Macaca mulatta: one gene and its partners. The protein of the gene in region 3 interacts with the protein of the main gene of each other region in a pairwise test. Links are inferred from orthologs where the notes say so. Each region holds a gene or a part of one and is shown on either strand. Other genes may lie near its edges.

What was found. The genes of interacting proteins can lie anywhere in the genome.
Region 1: the proteins of NME7 (region 3) and SYCE1 interact in binary tests that used the Homo sapiens proteins (3 or more experiments, as listed by UniProt). The two-hybrid records come from large-scale screens. The link is inferred for Macaca mulatta from reciprocal best matches to the Homo sapiens genes NME7 and SYCE1.
Region 2: the proteins of NME7 (region 3) and ZBTB48 interact in binary tests that used the Homo sapiens proteins (3 or more experiments, as listed by UniProt). The two-hybrid records come from large-scale screens. The link is inferred for Macaca mulatta from reciprocal best matches to the Homo sapiens genes NME7 and ZBTB48.
Region 4: the proteins of NME7 (region 3) and CFAP141 interact in binary tests that used the Homo sapiens proteins (3 or more experiments, as listed by UniProt). The two-hybrid records come from large-scale screens. The link is inferred for Macaca mulatta from reciprocal best matches to the Homo sapiens genes NME7 and CFAP141.

The regions. Positions count from the first base shown.
Region 1 is NC_133414.1:145,691,620-145,697,504, forward strand, and holds the start of SYCE1 (synaptonemal complex central element protein 1), read right to left. Parts: upstream 3,842-5,885; 5' UTR 884-3,841; coding exon 811-883; intron 1-810. UniProt on the Homo sapiens protein: Major component of the transverse central element of synaptonemal complexes (SCS), formed between homologous chromosomes during meiotic prophase. Requires SYCP1 in order to be incorporated into the central element.
Region 2 is NC_133406.1:234,202,564-234,208,488, reverse strand, and holds the start of ZBTB48 (zinc finger and BTB domain-containing protein 48), read left to right. Parts: upstream 1-2,084; 5' UTR 2,085-2,216; intron 2,217-2,606; 5' UTR 2,607-2,675; coding exon 2,676-3,365; intron 3,366-4,167; coding exon 4,168-4,409; intron 4,410-5,925. Other genes in the region: TAS1R1 (taste receptor type 1 member 1), read left to right, coding at 716-1,647. UniProt on the Homo sapiens protein: Plays a critical role in transcriptional regulation and chromatin remodeling. Acts as a regulator of telomere length. Directly binds the telomeric double-stranded 5'-TTAGGG-3' repeat.
Region 3 is NC_133406.1:26,834,303-26,839,474, forward strand, and holds part of NME7 (nucleoside diphosphate kinase homolog 7), read right to left. Parts: intron 3,425-5,172; coding exon 3,317-3,424; intron 2,211-3,316; coding exon 2,044-2,210; intron 1-2,043. UniProt on the Homo sapiens protein: Possesses an intrinsic kinase activity. Displays 3'-5' exonuclease activity with a preference for single-stranded DNA. Does not seem to have nucleoside diphosphate kinase activity.
Region 4 is NC_133406.1:112,822,281-112,828,246, reverse strand, and holds the start of CFAP141 (cilia- and flagella-associated protein 141), read right to left. Parts: upstream 3,842-5,966; 5' UTR 3,707-3,841; coding exon 3,674-3,706; intron 2,700-3,673; coding exon 2,659-2,699; intron 133-2,658; exon of another isoform or gene 54-132; intron 1-53. Other genes in the region: C1H1orf43 (protein C1orf43 homolog), read right to left, coding at 4,850-5,045. UniProt on the Homo sapiens protein: Microtubule inner protein (MIP) part of the dynein-decorated doublet microtubules (DMTs) in cilia axoneme, which is required for motile cilia beating.

The DNA of each region.
Region 1 (5,885 bases), on a different chromosome or scaffold from region 3:
CACGCAGGTAGGGCTGGAGGCAGCCACCGTGGCGTTTGTTAATTGCAGCGTTTTAACTCAGGGGGGACACATGAGCTCAGGACAGAGTGACAAGTTGAGTGACAGCAGGAGGGACGTCACCGTACAATTCTCTCCACTTTTGTGTAAGTTTGAAAATTCTCCCAAAACACCCAGAGGTACACAGCGTCCTGAAGTGGAAACGGCCAGGACAGTGTTCTTTCTCTTTGTTGGGCTGCAATTTCGGGACTTCTGTACAACTCTGACCAGCTGCCTTGTCCCTCCCTTCCCAGGGTGAGGTAGGAGCCTCTACGGCAGGTCGGGGTCGGGGAGAAACAAACGGGAGATCTGCGGGGAGTCGGCCTCCCCCGGCTCCCCGGGGCGTCGGGATGCTGGGTGGGGGAACCCACTGTCAAGAACCAGGTTAGTGCGACCGGGAAATCTGGACACTTGCTGGTTCTAGAAAGAGGAGTGTGGAATTAGGAATTCCCTTGGGATTGGGAGCGTCAGGAAAATGTCCTTTTTGTTTTAAGAGGTGTGTATGGAAAGTCTGTGGAACGACAGGATGTCTTTTGACTAATTACCTAAACCAAAATTGGAGCAACCACGATAAAGGTTCAATGCTTTAAGACGAAGTGAGGGGTGTGCGGGCCAGCACTCCCTCATCTTGGCGGAAAGTTTTCTGAAGAAACCCGCTAAGTCTCAGTCAGCACCATCAGGACTGACAGGAAGTAGTCGCCACCCGCGCCCCAACCCTGCCCCGCCTCGGCGAGGTCAGACCCTCACGCACAGTTCCCTGCCTCCCTCCACTACCTTCGGCCTTCTCAGCCCCGTCCGTGGCTCCGGCGGTGGGCTCGGCCTTCGACGCCAGGGACCTCCCCGCCATTTCCTCTCAGCTCAGCAGCGCGGGTGGCTTGGGAGGGAGCCTCCAGTGGTGATTGGAGCAACCCCTGCAGGGGGCGGGACTCCAGGCAGCGCGCCTGCGCAATGCACCCCCGCGCGCGCTCTGGATATGTGAAGTAATGTTCGGCCGGCCTGCCTGGCAGCTAGTGCGCATGCGTAAAGGCCCGAGGGTTACAAAGCCCGCGAGGGCCACGTCCGGCCGTCCAGGCTCGCGATTGGCCCGGTTCTGGGTGCTCACGCGCATGTGTGCTGGCCTCCGAGGGGGGCCGGCCCTGGTTCTGGAGGCCCTCACCACGAGCGACCAGTGCGCGTGTGCCAGGCAGCAACTGCCTGTGAAATGTGCGTGTCTCACGGAGGACTCCACGAGGCACCATGGCCCCGGCAACCTCACGGGGTCGCGGCTCTGCTTGGCCACGCCACCGCGGGAGTGCACGGACCCCAGCAAGTGACGCGTCTGTGGCAGCCCCCGCGGGGCCCGCTGTTCCCGCTGGCGCAGAGGAGCGCAGCCTGCCCCTAGGCCGCGTTCCCGTGAGCTCCATGCCCACAGCGGCCCATGCCGGCCACAAGCCCACGGTCCCTTCTGCACGGGCCCTGCCACGCTGGGGCCACCGGGGAGGCCTGGAGGGCACTGGGAGGAGGGAGGAGGAGCCGAGGCTTTCGGGAGAACCAGCCCTTCACCGGCCAGGGGAGGCCGCGATGCACCGTGACTGGTTGTGAAGAACCAACAGAAGAACTTCCCGTGCGGGTGAGTGGGAGACACCAGAACACCCGCCCGTCCTAAATACAAAGCCTCGAATCCCAACCTATAAAAGGTTACCTTAGGGTTTTGGGTTAGGGCTACAGGTTAGAGTTAGGGATAAAGGTTAGAGTTGGGGTAGAGTTAGGGTTTGGGTTAGGGTTTAGGGGTTAGAAGTTCGTTTTAGGGTTGGGGTGGGGTTAGGGTTTGGGGTTAGCGTTAGGGATGGGGAAGGATTAGGGGTAGGGTTAGGGTTGGTCCAGGGTTGGGGTAGGGGTAGCATTTAGGGTCAGGGTTTAATCGTTAGGGTCAGGGTTTAATGGTTAGGATCAGGGTTTTAGGGTTGGGGTTAGGATGTTAGGGTTAGGGTTTGGGGTTAGGGTTTCGAGGATAGAAGATTAGGGTCAGGGTTAGGGTTTGGGTGTTAGGCTAAGGATTGTTAGGGTTAGAGGTTAGTGTTTTAGAGTAGGTGTTAGGGTTAGGTGTTGGTTTTGGGGTTAGGGTTAGGGGTTACGGTTTAGGGTAAGGGGTTAGGTTTAGAGGTTAGGGTTAGTGTTAGGAGTTACAGTTGGGTTAAGGCTTAGTGTAGGGGTAGGGCTAGGTTAGTGCTTAAGTTTAGCGTTGTTATGGTTAGGTTTAGCTTCAGGGGTTAGGGGTTAGGGGTAGCAGTAGGGTTAGGGGTTAGGGTTTGTGGTTTCAGTTTAGCTTAGGGTTTTAGGGGTAGGGGTTGGGTTCAAGTTTGGGTTCGGGGGTTAGGTTTATGGTAGCATTAGGATTCGGGCTCGGGCTGCAGCTAGAGTTTAGGGTTGGGGTAGGGGTTGAGGTTATGGGTTGAGGTTAGGGTTAGGGTTCAGGTGTTGGGTCATGGGTTAGGGTTGGATTTAAGGGTTAGGGGTCAGGTTAGGCGGGGCGGGCTGGGGGCCAGATGTCGCCCCTGAGCCCAGCCAGGCCTAGGACCGTAGCAGCCCCAGGGTGCTGAGGGCGCTGCCCAGTACGAGACAGAAGCGGGGGCTGCGCGTGGGTCCAGTGCCCAAAGTCCACGCCCGGTAGGGTTAGAATTAGGGGTTAGGGGTTTGTGTTGGGGTTGGGTTAGGGTTGGGGCTTAGAGGTTAACATTAGTGTTGGGGTCAGGGCTCAGGTTTGTGGGTTAGGTTTAGGGTTTAGGCTTAAGGTTTCGGATTAGGGGTTTAGTGCTTTTCCTTGGGATTGGAGTATCGGTTAGGGTTAGGGTTTAGGTTTAGGGGTTAGTGTTAGGATTAAGGGTTCGTGTTTGACATTAGGTGTTAGGGTGAGGGGTTAGGATTAAGGGTCAGCATTAGGGTCAGGGGTTAGTGGTAGGGGTTGCACTTAGGGTTTTGGTTAGGGTTCCTGGAGAGACGGTTTTCTTGCTTGAGAGTGTTTCTGGGCCGTGAGGTGTACTCTTCTGGGCAGGTGGTTAGCAACTACCGTTTTCCCCTCACTTCCCTGCAAATCCTTAAGTCCTTTGGTCCATTTCATTGCTTCTTTTGGGGAGGGTCAGATTCCTCAGGATCTCGGGGCAGAACCAGCCTGAGGTCGCCTCCCTGCCCATGGGTCACCACAGCCCCAGGGCAGGTGGGGGAGCCGGGGTGGCTTGTGTTCCTGGTCTTGGCACCTCCCTTTGGGCAGCTCTGGAGCGTGGCTGGGCCGTTGGTACAGGAGCCACAGGCCGCTGCCTTTTTGACTGAGGGTACCCTAACATCCTGGAAGGGGTGGGGCAGGGCTCGTGATCCCCTCTAGGTGGGAGGTAGGAGGCTGAGGGGGCGTGGGCAGGACGGTGGATGGCAGGTCCACAGGGACAGCCTGCAGTTCCTGCACAAACTGGGGCTCCAAGACTGTGGGCAAGGGAGGAAGGGGGAGCCCAGGTCAGAGGAGCCTGGGGATCGGCGCGGGCTGGGGGCCAGATGTCGCCCCTGAGCCCAGCCAGGCCTAGGGCCGTAGCAGCCCCAGGGTGCTGAGGGCGCCGCCCAGTACGAGACAGAAGTGGGGGCCGCGCGTGGGTCCAGCGCCCAAAGTCCACGCCCGGTAGGTGTAGTTGCCGAGGCCGGTCCTTTTGCCTCCAGGAACCCAGTCCTCATCGTCCTCCAAGGTCGCCTTCCCCGGGTCCCGCGGCCCTTCTTCAGCCTGAACTTGCTGCCAGGCCCGCTGCCGCCCTCACGGCCGTTCCGGCCGCAGCCACTCGCAGCGAGGAGCCCGCGGCACCATAGCGCCGGGCCGGCCTTACACGCACCCTCGAGGCCCCTATCAAGCCCCCGCGGAGCCCTCCGCGGCTGCCCTTGGCTGCACCGCTGACTCAGAGGAAAGCGGCCGCCGGTAGCAGAGCCAAGCACGTCGCGGGTGCCTAGTTCATCTTCATGGGGCCAAGCCTGCAGGAAGAGTGGGAAAGGGCCCTCGGTTTCCATGGAGATCGGGTGCCCAGGGGCGGAGGCCTCAGGGCTGGAGAGCAGAGGAACCCTCGGCTTTTGTGGGATCAGGGTGCCCTCAGCATCTTGGAGGCCCACGCAGGCCTAGGGGGGTGCGGTTTAACCTCTAGCATCAAGGACTTAGGCCTGGGGGAGGCGCTGGGAAGTGGCAGGTGAGGCAGGAGGGTTCTGCAGCTGAAGGTTGTGTACCTGGATTGGGGGCGTAGAAGCGGGGATGGAGCCCCGCGGTGGGAGTGTCCAGGCCTCGGGGGGCGTCCAGGCCCTGGGTGCGGGGAGGTAGGCCTGGGGGAGGACCGCCATGCTCCTGGGCTCTGCACGCATTGCTAGGATGTCGGGGGGCAGCATGAGGGGAGGGGTGTTGTGTTTGGAGTACCTGTTAGCGGGGACCAAGTGCTGGCTCAGATCAGGGTCTGCAGCGCAGGCCAGCAGTGCCTGGGCCTGGTGCCCACCTTTGGGGCCAGAGCCTGGGTGCGGGCCTTGCGGGTGTTGCGGCGGACAAGCGGCTGCTGACACCATAGGGACCCCGCCCCAGCAGGCCAGTACCCCAGGGACGGTCCCTCCCGGGCAAGCCCCGTGCTCCATGCAGTCCCTGGCCGCCTGGTTCAGCAGCTGGCGGGGGATAGGACAGGGTAGAGTCGCGGGGCCTCCTCCGGACGCAGCCACCTGGGCGACGACTGCATCCCCTCCCTCGCTTCCGGCTCTGTACCCGCCTCTGTACCCGCCTCAGTCTCCCGGCCTTACCCGCCACAGGCCTCAGTTGGAACCGGGCGCCACAGTATCTTCCCCAGGGGCCGCGGCTGAGCGAGAAGGAGCGGGCGGGCGGCGGCGCAGACCCTCAGCCGGAGCGCGGAGCCGAGGCGCCTGGGTTTTGCGCGAGGCCTCCGCCCTGGGATTGGGGCGGGCAGTTGCGGAGGCGCATCCGGGTGAGCCGTGGGAGGTGAAAAGAACGTCCCCATTCCCCATCCTCGCGGCCTCCAGTCCTCCATCACCAGTCCCCTCCGTCTCCTGCATCACAAAGTCCGGGCTCCGCCGTCCCCCGTGACCCCCGCATCCGGCCCCGTTCCACCCGCCCCGCTTCCTTCCCCTTCACACCCTGGTCTCCACCTGGGCCCATCCGCCTGTGAGTCCCGGTGCCCGGGGATGAGGGCCGAGGTCCTGAGAGGAGAGGGTCCCTGTGCCGGCCCCACGGAGGCCCGAGCCCACCCCGCGGTCCCTACCCTGGCAGGTGCGGCTTCTCCCCGTGTTGTCAGCTGCGGGACTGGGCAGGGACCGTCTCAATCTTCGACCTTGTTTCAGGGAGGATGGGGTCGACTCTCACGATCCCCAAAGGCCTGCCCCGACCCCTCCTGGGCCAGCTGCCTCCCTCCTGTGGGTTCTGATGCCACCTGGGCCCACGGCCTCTTCCCAGCCCAGGGCGGCCGCGCCTCCGGTGAGTTTCAACTGAGCCTGGCTCCGGGTGCAGCGCCCGCGTGGGACCTCTGCTGTCCCGTGTAGGGTTGCCCTGCAAATATGTGATGAATACGTAAATGAATACTTTCTGTCTTCTAACTTGCCGGATATTAGAAGGAAACCAAGCTGTGCTTCTCATTTATAGCTACCGTTAAGGACTGAACAGAAGCTTAGCTTTCTGGGTGAGAGGGACAACAGTGTTTTTAGAACCTCTGGAAAGAACATGTATTTGAAAGTGACTAACAGGTCTTCTGGCCCTAGGGGGCCGCCTGAGCAGGTCCACCCAGCTTCCCTCCAAGACAGAAAATAAATTAACAAGGAGAACAGGAAGGGCCCCGGGAGACTCCAGACCGGACCGG
Region 2 (5,925 bases), about 210 Mb from region 3:
AATTCAACCTCTTTCTCTAAATGAATGTAGCTATTGTTCCCTTTGTGCCCTCTTGTCCTACTGTCCCTTCTGTTGCCCATGCCAAAGACAGCTAGCTCCTTGAACAGCTTGGCCTGAATACAGATACTAGCATGTCTGCAACAGAGAAAAAAAACAGCATTCCCCATCCAGCAATGCAAGATCAAGAACAGAGAGCAAATTAAATAGCTAAGGACTCATGTCCTTCGTTGGTGTCCAGGGGCCACATTCTTTCCTTTCACCATCTCTGTAGGGACAGGAATACTTCCCTTCTGTCCTCAGAGGGTCAGGACTCAGAGAAACCACAGAGCAGCAGCTAAGGAAAATGGTTCATGGAAATGCTGGAGAGAGAGAGGGGTTAAAATGCCCTCCCTTGGGAGCAGGCTGCTCCCATTGGATCGTAGCCTCTCTGTTATGTGGGCAGAGCTACCAGGGTAAGGTCCTCCCTAGGGTTTGCAAAACCCTCATGGGATCATGAGCCATATAGAACTGACCTGTGGGTCTCCAGTGTGTAATTAACACAGGCATTTTGAGGAAATGCTTGGCCTCAGGCCCCACTCCCGGCTACCCCCATCCCACCATGCCTAGCACAGTCTAGCTGCCTGGGTACAATTCTCCCAGTATCTTGCAGGCCCCTATTTCCTATTCCTACTCTGCTCATCTGGCTCTCAGGAACCTTCTTGGCCTTCCCTTTCAGACCTCTACAGATGCCAGCCTTGTGGGAAAGAAGAGTGGGCACCTGAGGGAAGCCAGACCTGCTTCCCACGCACTGTGGTGTTTTTGGCTTGTCAAGAGCACACCTCTTGGGTGCTGCTGGCAGCTAACACACTGCTGCTGCTGTTGCTGCTTGGGACTGCTGGCCTGTTTGCCTGGCACCTAGACACCCCTGTGGTGAGGTCAGCAGGGGGCCGCCTGTGCTTTCTTATGCTGGGCTCCCTGGCAGCAGGTAGCGGCAGCCTCTATGGCTTCTTTGGGGAGCCCACGAGGCCTGCATGCTTGCTGCGCCAGGCCCTCTTTGCCCTTGGTTTCACCATCTTCCTGTCCTGCCTGACAGTTCGCTCCTTCCAACTAATCATCATCTTCAAGTTTTCCGCCAAGGCACCTACCTTCTACCGCGTCTGGGTCCAAAACCATGGTGCTGGCCTGTTTGTGATGATCAGCTCAGCGGCTCAGCTGCTTATCTGTCTAACTTGGCTGGTGGTGTGGACTCCACTGCCCACTAGGGAATACCAGCGCTTCCCCCATCTGGTGATGCTTGAGTGCACAGAGGCCAACTCCCTGGGCTTCATACTGGCCTTTCTCTACAATGGCCTTCTCTCCATCAGTGCCTTTGCCTGCAGCTACCTGGGCAAGGACTTGCCAGAGAACTACAACGAGGCCAAATGTGTCACCTTCAGCCTGCTCTTCAACTTCATGTCCTGGATCGCCTTCTTCACCACGGCTAGTGTCTACGACGGCAAGTATCTGCCCGCGGTCAACATGCTGGCTGGGCTGAGCAGCCTGAGCAGCGGCTTCGGCGGGTATTTTCTGCCCAAGTGCTACGTGATCCTCTGCCGCCCAGACCTCAACAGCACAGAGCACTTCCAGGCCTCCATTCAGGACTACACGAGGCACCGCGGCTCCACCTGACCAGTGGGGTCAGCAGGCATAGCTGGTAGCTTTCTCTGTCCTGAGGGTCGAAGGTCAAGCAGGCCAGGGCTGTTTGGGAGGCCTTTGGGCACCTCAGTCTGGGGTTGGGACGTGTAAGCGCCCGGGAGAGCCCAGACCAGGCTCCGGGCTGCCAATAAAGAAGTGAAATGCGTATCTGGTCTCCTGTCGGGGAAGAGGGTGAGGTGCCGCGGATTCAAGTCTGAACCCAGAACCTGGAAAAGGCTTGGTGCCCAGCTTGACGTTGCTAGGCAACCCCGGAGGCGGGCCCAGCGCCAAAAGAACAGGGCGTGGCCTCATCCCCTCATCCCATTGGCCGTTCTCTGCGGGGCCCCGCCCTCGGGTGCCGGAGCTAGAAGATCTACGCTTCCGAGGCGCCCCTCCTGGCCGGCACGCTCTGACGTCACGTCCGGCGCGGAGACGGCTGCGTCTCCGCACGGTCGGCGGGGCACGCATAGCCGGGCAGTTGGTTCGTGGGCTGTGGAGGCGACGGAGCCGGGGGCTGGTGGGGCCAGCTCAGGGAGGACCTGCCTGGGTGAGGAGGGCACGAGGTGAGGGAGGGAGGGGCTGCGGGCCGCCGTGGCTGCCTTCCGCTCGGCCGCTCGGGACCTGTGGGCGCGGCGTGGGCTCCGCTTACCTGTCCGCGGCCGCCGTCCTCCCCAGTCCAGGATCCTCTCACTGTGCCAGGCCAGTCAGTTCGCGCTCATCCCGTGCCTTCTTTCCCCAAACTTGGATTTTTCCCACCAGGCCCTTCTTCATGACCCTGACCCCCCCATCAGCATCCCCCCTGGCCAACCCAATATGGCCCCCGGTCCCCGGGAGGCTGTCAAGTATGTTCCTGCCTTCCGCGTGCACCCCTCACCTTGACCCAAGCCCTCGTGCTGATAAATGTGATTATTTGAGTGGAGGCCAACTTCCCCTTTCTCTCTCTTCGACTCCAGGGGCTTTCTCTTGCATACGCTCGCTTGGGCTGGCCAGGGTGTCACTTCTGCCTCCCTGCCCTCCAGACCATGGACGGCTCCTTCGTCCAGCACAGTGTGAGGGTTCTGCAGGAGCTCAACAAGCAGCGGGAGAAGGGCCAGTACTGCGACGCCACTCTGGACGTTGGGGGCCTGGTGTTTAAGGCGCACTGGAGTGTCCTTGCCTGCTGCAGCCACTTCTTCCAGAGCCTCTACGGGGATGGCTCAGGAGGTAGTGTCGTCCTCCCTGCTGGCTTCGCTGAGATCTTTGGCCTCTTGTTGGACTTTTTCTACACTGGTCACCTCGCTCTCACCTCAGGGAACCGGGATCAGGTGCTCCTGGCAGCCAGGGAGTTGCGAGTGCCAGAGGCCGTAGAGCTGTGCCAGAGCTTCAAGCCCAAAACTTCAGTGGGACAGGCAGCAGGTGGCCAGAGTGGGCTGGGGCCCCCTGCCTCCCAGAATGTGAACAGCCTCCTCAAGGAGCCGGCAGGCTTGCAAGAAGAGGAAGTTTCGAGGACTCTGGGTCTAGTCCCCAGAGATCAGGAGCCCAGAGGCAGTCATAGTCCTCAGAGGCCCCAGCTCCATTCCCCAGCTCAGAGAGAGAGTCCCTCCTCCCTCTGTGGGAAACTCAAGCAGGCCTTGAAGCCTTGTTCCCCCGAGGACAAGGAACCTGAGGACTGCAAAATGCCTCCAAGGCCCTTCGAGGCTGAAGGTGGCCAGCTGCAGGGCGGGAGTAATGAGGTACTGTGCCCAGGGTGCTGGGACTGGGGAGACAAATGGAGGGAATAGACACTTTTTTTGGTATAATAGGGACCCTGGGCTGGGTGTGATGGCTCATTCACGTGAGTGGTTCAAGTGGAGGACGACAGGGATGGACGAAGTCTATTTGTAATCCTAGCACTTTGGGAGGCCAGGGTGGGTGTGGATCACTTGAGCTTGGGAGTTCGAGACCAGCCTGGGCAACATGGCGAGGCCTCATCTGTACAAAGAAAATACAAAAATTAGCCGAGTGTGGTGGCACACACCTGTAATCCTAGCTACTTGGGAGGGTGAGGTGGGAGGATCACTTGAGCCCAGGAAGTGGAGGTTGCAATGAGCTGAGATGGTGCCACTACGCTGTAGCCTAGGCGACAGAGCAAGACCCTGTCTCAAAAAAAAAAAAAGTGGACCTTAAGACAATCTCTGTTAATGTGGGTTTGGAACGGGCTTTCTCCAAACAAAGGAAGCTGGTGATCTCAGGCTGACCTTTCTGCAAGCCCCAGCTATTCATGGTTGCCACCTTCCTGAGAGGAGTGGGCAGCATCAGGGTTACAGGTGTTTCCCCAGGATAGTGTTTCCATCCGAGCTTCCAGTTCCCCACAAATACAGTCACTTTCCTCTGAATCCAAGACTCAGATGCTCTGCCTTGGGCCCCTGAAGGAACAGTGTCTGATGAAGGGACTTGTCAGGGTTGGGGCTTGGGATGGAACTGGAGCTGGGTCCCTACAACTCCTGCTGATTCATTTGGTGACCCCACCCCCTCCTGCTGCCTATTGTGCTCTAGTGGGAAGTGGTGGTTCAAGTGGAGGACGACGGGGATGGTGATTACATGTCTGAGCCTGAGGCTGTGCTGACCAGGAGGAAGTCAAATGTAATCCGAAAGGCCTGTGCAGCTGAGCCAGCCCTGAGTGCGGGCTCCCTAGCAGCTGAGCCTGCTGAGAACAGAAAAGGTACAGCGGTGCCGGTCGAATGCCCCACATGTCATAAAAAGTTCCTCAGCAAATATTATCTAAAAGTCCACAACAGGTAAACTTTCTGTTTTTCTATTTTCCTGTCTGCCATTCCCGCGTTGGGGGAGGGGTCTTGCACGTCCCACTTCTGGGTGAGGTAGGGGCTGGGGGATCCATCTCAGACCCACATAGTGCCTGGCCTTGGCACACCTCTGGCAATCAGGAAGTGAGAGTCTGCTTTGGGTTAGATTCTTCTTCCTCACTGTCCTGTGAGTACTGTGGTTGGAGATGGGTTTGTGGACATCTTGTCAACAGGTTCCACCCACTGTGGACCTTGACCTTCAGCTGGCCTCTGCGGACAGAATGAGAAACCTGTGGCCCGTGTGCTAGAGCTGAGGCCCAACCTTAGGTGTTTCTGAAGCCCGGCAGTGTGGGCTTGAAGCCTGGCAGTGTGGGCTTTGGGCCACAATGCTGAGCCTTGGGTCAGTGCTACCTGTGTTTCCAGGGAAGTGTTCACTCTGGGGTGTCAGTGGAGTATTAAAGTCCAGTTGTCTAAACCTTCAGTGTCCAGTAAAGTAACCAGGAACTCCAGGGGCTATTAAAATTTTTATTTTTACATTTAGTGGAGACAAGGTTTTGCTATGTTGCCCAGGCTGGTCTCAGACTCCTGGGCTCAAGCGATCCACCCACCCTGGCCTCCCAAAGTGCTAGAATTATAGGTTTGAGCCACCATGCCCAGCCCCCAGGGGCTATTTTATGTTTTTGAGTTGGAGTCTTGCTCTGTCACCAGGTTAGAGTGCAGTGGCACGATCTCAGCTCACTGCAACGTCTGCCTTCTGGGTTCAAGCGATTCCTCTGCCTCAGCCTCCAAAGTAGCTGGGATTACAGGCATGCGCCACCACACCCGGCTAATTTTTTGTATTTTAGTGGAGACGAGGTTTCACCATGTTGGCCAAGATGGTCTTGATCTCCTGACCTTTCGATCTGCCCGCCTCGGCCTCCCAAAGTGTTGGGATTACAGGTGTGAGCCACCATGCTCGGCGTATGTTTTTTTTTATTTTATTTTATTTTACTTTATTTTTTTTTTGAGACGGAGTCTCACTCTGTTGCCCAGGCTGGAGTGCAGTGGCATGATATCAGCTCACTGCAACCTCCACCTCCCAGGTTCAAGCGATTCTTCTGCCTCAGCCTCCCGAGTAGCTAGGATTACAGGTGCCCGCCACCACGCCCAGCTAATTTTTGTATTTTTAGTAGAGATGAGGTTTCACCATCTTGACCAGGCTGGTATTAAACTCCTGACCTCGTGATCCACCTGCCTTGGCCTCCCAAAGTGCTGGGACTCACGGAGTCTCTCCTCTCCACTCACCCAGGCTGGAGTGCAGTGGCTCCATCTCTGCTCACTACAACCTCTGCCTCCCAGGTTCAAGCAATTTTCCTTTCTCAGCTTCCTGAGAAGCTGGGATTACAGGCGTGTGCCACCACACCTGGCTAATTTTGTTTGTATTTTTAGCAGAGACGGGGTTTCAGCATGGTGGTCAGGCTGGTCTTGAACTCCTGACCTCGTGATCCGCCTGCCTCAGCCTCCCAAAGTG
Region 3 (5,172 bases):
CATCCTCCTCACTACAGGCTTTACTATAGAAAGAAAAGAGTTGAAAATGTAATTAGTTCATAAATTTTTTTCAACACTATACAAAACTGAGAACTAGACTAAATCAGTTGTTACACAGAAGGTGTTTCTGTGGAACGCTGATACACATACCCATATATTTCCATATGCTTACTTTTGGCCATTTAAATAAAACAATACATTTTTGAAACTCTTCGGTTTGGAGGAAGTTTATTTAAATTACCCAAATGGTTGCTGGATTTACTAACCCATATGCAATTAAGAAAGAATAAGAAAAGAAAATGGTGAATCAATTTGAGTCAGTAAAATATATACTACGTATATTTTCAGTAACTATATAAAGCCCAAATACTTCAAATTTGTTTTTACATTAAAATAGAATTCTTCTGTTCATCCTGTTTTAAAATCAGTCCCATTCAACAGTATTTGCCAGCATATTAATTAGAGGTTTAGTAGAAAGAGAATGAATTTTAGAGAAAAACAAAACATGGTTTTCTGGTTTCCCTTTACTTTCTAGCTGTGTTACTGTGGACTAGTTACTTACCCATTCTATTAAATAGATTTAACAACATTCACTTCAGTCAAATCATAGTTAAAATATAAAAATTATGATTTTTATGGCTGATATTTTATTTTTCTTAGGTCAGACTGTTAACCCTGACTCTCTAACTCACTTATTTTGCTAGTTTAAATAAAAATTTAAAGTAGTCTTCCAGCCTGGGCAAGATGGCCAAACCCCATCTCCTGCAAAATACCAAAAAATTAGCCAGGCATAGTGGTGCATGGTTGTAGTTCCAGCTACCTGGGAGGCTGAGATGGGAGGATCACTTGAGCATGGGAAGTCAAGGGTGCAGTGGGCTATGATTATGCCACTTCACTTCAGCCTGGGTGATGACAGAGTCAGACCCCGCTTAAAAAAATAATTAAATAAAATAAAGCAGTCTTGAACTGAGGTGTATGTAAAGTGCATATTAGAGTGTCTGGCATATAGTATGTGCTCCATAAATGAATGCTACACATATTTATTAGTTTTAAATCAAGGAATTATGGTTGGCATTTCCTTAATTCCATAGACTTTTACATAAGATCCCACAACATTAAAAGATTCCTGTTTATTTATCTAATACCTGTAATTTTTATCCTATTTCAAAGAAAGTGTTTGGTCTTCCTTTGTTACGAGGCATTCACCACCCCTCTGATCCATCACCCTTTGTGTACTAACACCCACACTGAGAATCCAATCACCTCAAGAACCATAAAGTGCTTATACAGAAAGACTATGGAAGTCACAGAAAGAGATATCTCATTACTATGAGAGTGACTCAGATGTTAGGCAATCAACTAGTCATTTGAGTAGCAGATCTCAAAAAATAGTGTGACTGATTTGTTTTTCCTATTGAATTAAATCATTTTTGGAACCTTTTATACATATAGCCTTAACTTCTACAAATAATCCCTATTTTAATTATAGCACCAATCACTCTACAGTTAAAAAAAAAAAAGTCCCCAAACCATACAAAATATAAGCTACAGAAATTAGATCCAAAAGAGATGACAAAGGACTTAAATTTTCATTTCAAATATAATTAATTCTAATCTCAGAAAGTTGAAATTCATAAATGTAGAGAATTTAAAAGTTAAAAAGTCATCTTGAAAATACTGAAAATCAATATTCAGAAGGAAAACATCAGAAGTCCTTGTTTTCTATAAGTCTAATTTTCAGCTGTATCTACAAGTTGTTCTTTCTCACTTCCGTTTTTTTCTTAGCCCCTTTTACAGATGACTGTATCTCTGAGATGTACTAAGTTGCATAGGAGACATAAATATGAATTAAGTCAGATGAGACATGTACAACTATGATATTATCAATTTTTTTTAATTGAAAAAAAGAAAAAGACAGAATGAAGACAACCATTTTCCAGGTCCTATCCATCCTCATATGGTTAAATACTCCCAGTCTTGATTCAGATTGACTTTGAACCCAAAGTTACAAAATGTAAAAAGATTATATAATTGTTTTCTTACTTTTCTTTCCTACTGCCCAGCTGGCGAGCTGTATATTGATCCCCATAGTCAATTAATACCAATTGTCGAGAAAAGACATTCACTTTGTTGCCTATAAATAAATCTTCCAAGTGCAGGCTATCATATTTGGTCCGCTTTAAAAAGGTGCGATGATTCTTTACATCATGCTAGAACCAGACACAAGAATATAACAAACAAACAAACAAAATTTATGAATAAGGAAAGTTAATCTTATCATAAGGTAGAAATAATTCTTAATTCTGTCTTATCAAAGATAAGTTATATTCTGTTTCTTTTTTGTTACAAATATAAATCATAATTTTTAATTACTTCCATATTTCTGAATCCAATCTGGTAATAACATAAAAGCTTTTTATTACACATTTAATACTCTTAAAACCCTGAATAGAAAGATCTGTTTATTACCAAATCATTTCAGTAGTCCTTACAAAATGCTAAAGAAAGAGTCATACACCCAAATTTCTGCTTTTTTGTGTACACAAAATCCCAATACCAAAAAGATCCACTTGTTAAAATTGTGTTGCCAATGAAGAAACACAAAGAAATAAACAGAAGCCTCTTAGCTTGATCCTCTCAATTTGACTTTTTGTAGCAGTAACAGCTTTCAATAATGAGGACATATTTATGACCATAATAATCCTTATCTATAATCACTTATTGGTTATTTCTTATCCAAAACATGAATAATCCCATTTCAGTCTTTTTTTTTTCTTTTCTTTTTTTTTTTTTTTTTGAGATAGAGGCTCATTCTGTCCCCCAGGCTGGAGTGCGGTGGCATGATCTCAGCTCACTGCAACCTCCACCTCCTGAGTTCAAGCCATTCTCCTGCCTCAGCCTCCCGAGTAGGTGGGATGACAGGCATGTACCACCACACCCGGCTAATTTTGTGTATTTTTAGTAAAGACAGGTTTTCACCATGTTGGTCAGGCTAGTCTCGAACTCCTGACCTCAAGTAATCCGCCCACCTCAGCCTCCCAAAGTGCTGGGATTACAGGCATGAGTCACCGTGCCCGACCCCCACTTCAGTCTTCTAACAACAACAAAAAAAATTTCCTATCTTTGACATTAAAAGTAAAGGCACAAGTTAACTTCTTATATTGAAATTATAATGAATATCTTTAAAAAGAATTTCCATATATATACACACACACACACACATATAAATGTGTTTTTAAAAAGCAATTATATAAAAGGCAATGGTTCCCATGTTCACCCCCTTTGCCGACATTCAAGCAAAGAAAGACTTATTTACCATTTCAACAGATCCATCCCCTGGGTAAAATAAAAGCTCATAACGTCGAAGAAGTGAAGCATTTGGATCATACCACTCTGCAATGAAAACGAATCTTTCACTATGACTCTGCAAAGAAAGACAGAAGAATTTTAACACTAACATATAAAGAACAAGCACTCTCCTGTAAGTCACACAAAATGAAAGCAAGAATTACCAATTTGCAAAAAACAAACTTACTCCTACCTATTGTATTGAATTTTTCTGCTTTTCAACAAAATATCAGTTATCAACACACCCTCAGAAATATTTCCTTTTAATTTCTCATATCTCAGAGATGACTTATGGATTGCTTATTACTTTATAGCCATCTAATCATCCTGAGTAAATTAACATTTTCTGAGAACATGAGCTCCTGATTTTACTGTGGTAGCAATTCAGTCCTTCTGAAAGCAAGTTTACATAGAGACTATCAATAAATTAATATAAGCATACATTTCTGAGGATAGCTCTCAATTATATGAAGTTTTGACTTCCCTAAATTTGAGAATCTAGTAGTATCAGAATATTACCATTAAAATTATAGTAAACATCTTTTTTCCTTAGTAATTACATATGATAGTATCTTTTTATAGAAATAGAGAATGTGTTAGTCTAGGACCTCTGAAAATAAATGTGAAGACAAGACTGAACATGCAAGAATTTCATTAAGGAAAATTCCTGTAATATAAAATGAGGAGGGAGCCAAGGAAGACTAGAAAAGCTGACAAAAAACAATGCAAGTTTGACACAGAGTGGTGGAGAGGTGCAAGCAAGGTTAAGTAGAATCATCCCAGATTGCTACACCCTCTAAGGAAGGTTCAGTAAGCCCATCAGGAAGTGCTAGAGCCAGGTGACTCCCAAGGACACGGAGGGGCCAGCTTTAGTATCCCTGTTCCTCTCAATCACTGGCTGGGAGCAGCCTTTGGGAAACAAGTGCTCAGCACAAAAGCAGCAGTGGATTTCAGAGAACAGCAGCTGGGACCCTTGGTCATTTAGGTTGCCTGTAGTTGGAGGTCTGTGAAGTACATTCTTAGGGCTACCACAGAGAGCAAAAAATGAAAAAAAATAAGTCAAAGATGGGTCCTTTTCCCTTGACTATCGAGCAGGATTTCCCATTATATATGTTAGTAAAAATACCCTCGCCCCAAAGGCCCTTCATTATAATAAGCAAATAAAAGCATAGGGAAGAAGGGAATCTAGGAGTTTTATTGCTAATTCTGGATTTGCCATCTGATGCTCTGGTTAGGGTAAATTTGGGGATTCTTTTTATGTTAATAATTGACTTATAAATTCTAATGGTAGAAGTTGTATGTCTTATTATGTTTATAACATATCCATAAACTATAATGTAGATGAGTAGTTTTTAAGACACTTTTATTTTTCCCACAATCATCCAAAGACATATTTAAACGATGCTGATTACTCAAGAGAAAATAAATGTAAAATAATAGACATACTATGACATTTGCAAAAGCCTTTCATCATATATATTTTTCATATTGACTATATAACAATACAGCTTTTTTGAGTTTAGGTTTCACTGTGCATTCTAGTATTGTACTCACTTACAAATAAAAATTTAAATATTAGTAAATTATTGAAATTTTTACTATCTATAATAAAATATTTACTTAAATACATAATTGAAATGTTGCCTTCACTAAAATAAGTACGAAATAGAAGAAATGACACATCTAACTAAAGCAAATGAAAAATCAATGAAACCTGGTACTTCCATTTATCCACGTAGCCTATCCACCAAACCTGCCAGCCACACTCTTTAATTCTGAATTGGGCAGCAGAATTTTGCACTATACTCTATCCAGAAAACAGTT
Region 4 (5,966 bases), about 86 Mb from region 3:
GCTTCTACCTCAGCGGTCTAAATAGCTGGGACAACAGGTGTGTGCCTGGCTAATTTTTATTTTTTGTAGAGACGGAGTCTCACTATGTTACCTAGGCTGGTCTCAAACTCCTGGGCTCAAGTGATTCTCTGCCTTGGCCTCCCAAAGTGCTGGGATTACAAGTGTGAGCCACCACACCCAGCTACTTGTGCACGTTTTCAGAAAATGTTTCTATCATAAACTGGGAAGTACATCTTCTTTTTTAAAAAACATGAAATCAGCCGGGCGCGGTGGCTCACGCCTGTAAGCCCAGCACTTTGGGAGGCGGAGGCGGGTGGATCACGAGGTCAGGAGATCGAGACCACGGTGAAACCCTGTCTCTACTAAAAATACAAAAAAATTAGCCGGGCGAGGTGGCGGGTGCCTGTAGTCCCAGCTACTCAGGAGGCTGAGGCAGGAGAATGGCATGAACCCGGGAGGCGGAGCTTGCAGTGAGCCGAGATGGCACCACCGCACTCCAGCCTGGGCGACAGAGTGAGACTCCGTCTCAAAAAAAAAACAACATGTAATCAGGCCAGGTGTGGTGGCTCACCCCTATAATCCCAGCACTTTGGGAGGCCGAGGCGGGCAGATTACTTGAGGTCAGGGGTTCGAGACCAGCCTGGCCAACATGGCAAAACCCCAACGTGGTGAAACCCTGACTCTACTGAAAATACAAAAATTAGCCAGGTGTGGTGGCAGGCGCCTGTAATCCCAACTACTCGGGAGGCTGAGGCAGGAGAATTGCTTGGACCCGGGAGGTGGAGGCTGCAGCAAGCTGAGATCGTGCCACAGCACTCCAACCTGGGCAACAAGAGCGAAACTCTGTCTCAATAAATAAATATATATATATATAAAAGCAATACTGTCATGAACATTCTTGTGTATGTACCTTCTAGTGCTTTTCCAAGTATGTATATTTAAGATAAATTCCTATTTTTGCCAGTTCAATGGGTATGTAAATTTAAATTTTGATAGATTTTATCAAACTGCCTTTGTAAACATGGCTGTATCAACCTAGACTCCTATTGAAATCATGTGGTGTTCTTTTTTTTTTTTTTGAGACGGAGTCTCACTCTGTCGCCCAGGCTGGAGTGCAGTGGCCAGATCTCAGCTCACTGCAAGCTCCGCCTCCCAGGTTTACGCCATTCTCCTGCCTCAGCCTCCCAAGTAGCTGGGACTACAGGTGCCCACCACTGCGCCTGGCTAGTTTTTTGTATTTTTTAGTAGAGAAGGGGTTTCACCGTGTTAGCCAAGATGGTCTCAATCTCCTGACCTCGTGATCCGCCCGTCTCGGCCTCCCAAAGTGCTGGGATTACAGGCTTGAGCCACCGCGCCCGGCCATGTGTTCTTGTTTCTTCACATCCTTGCTAGCTCTGGATATAACCTGTGAAACCTTAAAAAAAGGCTTCTCCTATCCCATTTCAGACCACTTTAATCAGAATCTCCTAGGGTTAAGAACTAAGCATCGGTGTTTATTTATTTAAATTAAATTTTTTGGTAGAGATGGGGGTCTTGCTATGTTGCCCAGGCTGGTCTCGAACTCCTGAGCTCAAGCAATCCACCTGCCTTGGCCTCCCAAAGTGCTGGGATTACAGGCATGAATGAGCTAATGTGCCCAGCCCATTTTTTGTTTTGAGACAGGGTCTTCCTCTCTCACCCAGGCTGGAATGCAGTGGTGGCATCACTTGACCTGGGCTCAAGTGATCCTCCTGCTTCAGTCTGCTGAGTAGCTGAGACTATAGGCATGCACCACCACACCTGGCTGATTTTAATTTTTTTGGCAGAGACAGGCTTTTCCTATGTTGCCCAGGCTGGTCTCGAGCTCCCGGGCTCAAGCAATCCCCCTGCCTCAGCCTCACAAAGTGCTGGGATTATAGGTTATAGGTGTGAGCCACCATGCCAGGCTTGCATCAGTTTTTATTTTTATTTTTTATTTTTGTAGAGACGGAGTCTTGTTCTGTCGCCCAGGCTGCAATGCTAGAGTGCAGTGGTGCGATCTTGGCTCACTGAGTTCAAGCAATTCTCCTGCCTCAGCCTCCCAAGTAGCTGGGAGTACAGGCACACACCGCCATGCCCGGCTAATTTCTTTTGTATTTTAGCAGAGACAGGGTTTCCCCATGTTGCCCAGGCTGGTCATGAACTCCTGATCTCAGGCAATCCTCTTGCCTCGGCCTCCCAAAGTGCTAGGATTACAGGCGTGAGCCACCGTGCCCGGCCGCATCAGTGTTTTTTCAAAAGCTCATCAGGGTGAAAAGGCTATGTAGCCCAGTCTTGTGAATCTTCTCATTCACTGATTCAACAAATACTGCACTACCAACCACATAATTAGTACAAAGCCAGGCAACAAATACTTGAATTCTTAATAAAAAAAAGAAAATAAAAACATGCTTCAATTTTCCTCCAGAGAATGAGAGGCAGGGGACAATAAAAACCAATCTATATCACCTAACCTACTGGGCACTAACAGGCTGATCTCATTTGCTTTGAGGACAAGGCTGCTTCTCACCCCTTCTGCATCTCTTTTCCTTCTTAATGAGCCCCTAAAGAGATGCAGCAGAATTGGGAGATGGCCCAGGGAAGACAGCAGAGTGGAAAGGTCAAGCTGAAAGGTAAAGGGAGGGGATAGAAGCAGATTACCTGTCAACCATCTTCTTAAGTCCCATGGCCCTTTGAAAACTCTGCAAGAAAACGTAGTTCTGTTGATCTGCCTCAGTCTCCAGAACCTCACCCCTAGAACCCTGTTCTAATGAGAGACATAGACTTTTTTTTTTTTTTTTTTTTTTTTTTGAGACAGAGTTTTGCTCTTGTTGCCCAGGCCAGAGTGCAGTGGCGTGATCTCGGCTCACCACAATCTCCGCCTCCCGGGTTCAAGTGATTCTCCTGCCTCAGCCTCTGAGTAGCTGAGATTACAGGCATGCACTGCCACGCCTGGCTAACTTTGTATTTTTAGTAGAGACAGGGTTTCTCCATGTTGGTCGGACTGGTCTCGAACTCCTGACCTCAGGTGATTTGCCTGCCTCAGCCTCCCAAAGTGCTGGGATTACAGACATGAGTCATAGCACCCAGCCACATAGACATTTTTGAGAAAGCAATTTCCTAGGGGGAAATAGGGAGAGGAAAGCTCTACTTTCAGAATGGATCAAAGAAAACATACAGGGGTTGGATGGAACACATATTTGAATACCTACTATGTTCTAGACATAGCCTCCCCTCCTGTTACTAACTACATTGTACCCTTGTTACATCAAAAGCCTTTCCCAGTAAAAGATGCACTTATAGTAAATTGATCTGGGGGCCGGGCGCGGTGGCTCACGCCTGTAATCCCAGCACTTTGGGAGGCCGAGGCGGGCGGATCACAAGGTCAGGAGATCGAGACCACGGTGAAACCCCGTCTCTACTAAAAATACAAAAAATTAGCCGGGCGCGGTTGTGGGCGCCTGTAGTCCCAGCTACTCGGGAGGCTGAGGCAGGAGAATGGCGTGAACCTGGGAGGTGGAGCTTGCAGTGAGCCGAGATCGCGCCACTGCACTCCAGCCTGGGCGACAGAGCGACACTCCGTCTCAAAAAAAAAAAAAAAAAAAAAAAAAAAAAAAAAATTGATCTGGAAACCTCATCAAACTTCAGCCCAGCCCCTCCTTCCAACTCTGCGTACCTCTTCTACTTTTGTCATCTTTTCCACAGACATATCTACAGATTTGCTTGATACAGCCTGAGGAGACTGACAGGCTCCTCTTTCTGTTTAGTTCAGTAACCAAGGTTTCAGTAGTCATAGTAACATTTACGCCTCCAACAATAACCCTGGGCCTAGGAGTTGATTGGCCACCTGGCCTGTTGCCCCAGAAACCTTGAAAGAATCCTTGTTCTGCATCCTTCTGTTGATGACACAGGCAATTCTATGAGCAAGGGTCACAGTCCTGATTTTAGGATTTCTTGTGCTAGGGTCCCAAGGAGTATCTGTATGGTCCTAGGTCCAGGGTATGCACACAGTCCCACCAATTCTCTGGAGGCAAATCCTCACGCCTTATACCCTGTTAGAAATGTGCAGATAACATTATCAAATGCCTGTTTTATTAAAAGACAACTATAAAGGACTGATTCATGTTTTATTTGATAATAGTTCATTTTATTAAATAATTTATAAAGTCAGACCAGTGCATTGGCTTGTTAGGGGAAATCATTCCTTCCTACTGTCACATAGCCTGGCAGATTATGTCAGGTGCCAAAACATTCTCTTTTATTCAATTTATTCATGAGAGTGTGGAATTAAAGTAGATCCTTGCATGTCAGGAAAGCTGCAACACATCTGGTTTAAGTGGAGCACAAGGGTAAGTTATTCCACATTCACCAACTTCCCCACTTGACCTCCCACCAGTTCCTGTCTTTTTCCATCAATCAACTCTAAGACGCCCTAAACCCAAACAGTTCCCATTCAACTGTGTACAAAGGTATAGATATGGAAGACATCTCTCTCCAACTCTCACCTTTGGAATTAAATAAACCTGGAACAGGGAAGGTGAACTGGCTGAAACCAAGTGAAGATTTTTAAGAAGCTTTGACAGAAACATTAAGAATAACACCTGAATGCAAATCCAGAAAAAAGTGCTACTGGGGGAAAATAGTCTTAGCCAATGTTCTAAAAATGCCCATAAGAAAAGGTTGGGGAATTACCCTTTAGACACAAGCTCTAAGAACTCTGGATACAACGGGAACTTCGATGGATACAGTCTGGGCCTGCTGAGTCAGATGTCCCCAGGGCAGCCCGGCAAGCAGCCTGTCTTGCACACTGCAACTGACTGGCTTCATCTACGGCAAGAGTCCTTCAGCTCCATCACAGAGTACTCTCCAATGTGTTATAGTTATCCTTAAAGCTCTTCAATTCAAGGAAGTGCTTGGCACGTTTACTCTTCTGACTTGAGGGGAGGTATGTCACCTGGATGGTTGTTGGGGAGACCTCAGGGGACTGAGTTAGGTCTTTGGCTGCTGACTGGTGGTGTCGCTGAGAGCTCCCAATTCGTGCTTTAACCCTGAAAAACACAGAGGAGAGGTCACTCACAGAATGAGGACTAATCAAATAAATCAGGGCTTATCCCAGTCTATAAATGCAGCAATAGCCACAAATAGTTAATTGTGTCCTATCTGTCCTATTTAGTAAACTAGTTACTAAAACCCCATCTAGTAGCTTAGAAGTAGCAGAGAGGCTGAGCACGGTGGCTCATGCCTGTAATCCCAGCACTTTGGGAGGCCCAGACAGGTGGATTGCTTGAGGTCAGGAGTTCGAGACCAGCCTAGCCAACATGGTGAAATCCCATCTCTACTAAAAATACAAAAACTAGCTGGGCGTGGTGGTGGGTGCCTGTAATCCCAGCTACTTGGGAGGCTGAGGCAAGAGAATCACTTGAACCCAGGACACGGAGGTTGCAAGCCGAGATTGTGCCACTGCACTCCAGCCTGGGTGACAGAGCGACTCCATCTCAAAAAAAAAAAAAAAAAGAAGTAGCAGAGAGGCTGGGCATGGTCACTTATACCTGTAATCCCAGGACTTTGGGAGGCAGAGGCCAGAGACCGCTTGAGCCCAGGAGTGTTTGAGACCAGTCTGGGAACCAAAGTGAGACTCCATCTCTACAAAAAATTAGCCAGGTATGGTTGCAAGCACCTGTAGTCCTGGTTCCTCAGGAGGCTGAGGCAGGAGGATCGCTTGAGCCCAGAATTCGAGGATGCAGTAAGCCATGACTGTGCCACTGCACTCCAGCCTGGGCGACAGAGACCCTGTCTCTCTCTCTCACACACACCCTAAAAAAGTAGCAGCACTCCAGCCTGGGTGACAGAATAAAGGCCCTGTTTGGGTGCCCTGACACACACCTACTCACACCAAAAACAACTAGCACCAGAGAAACCAATTTCCCAGAGTTCTTGCCTCTGGCTCAAGCTTTTTCTTGAGAGACAGG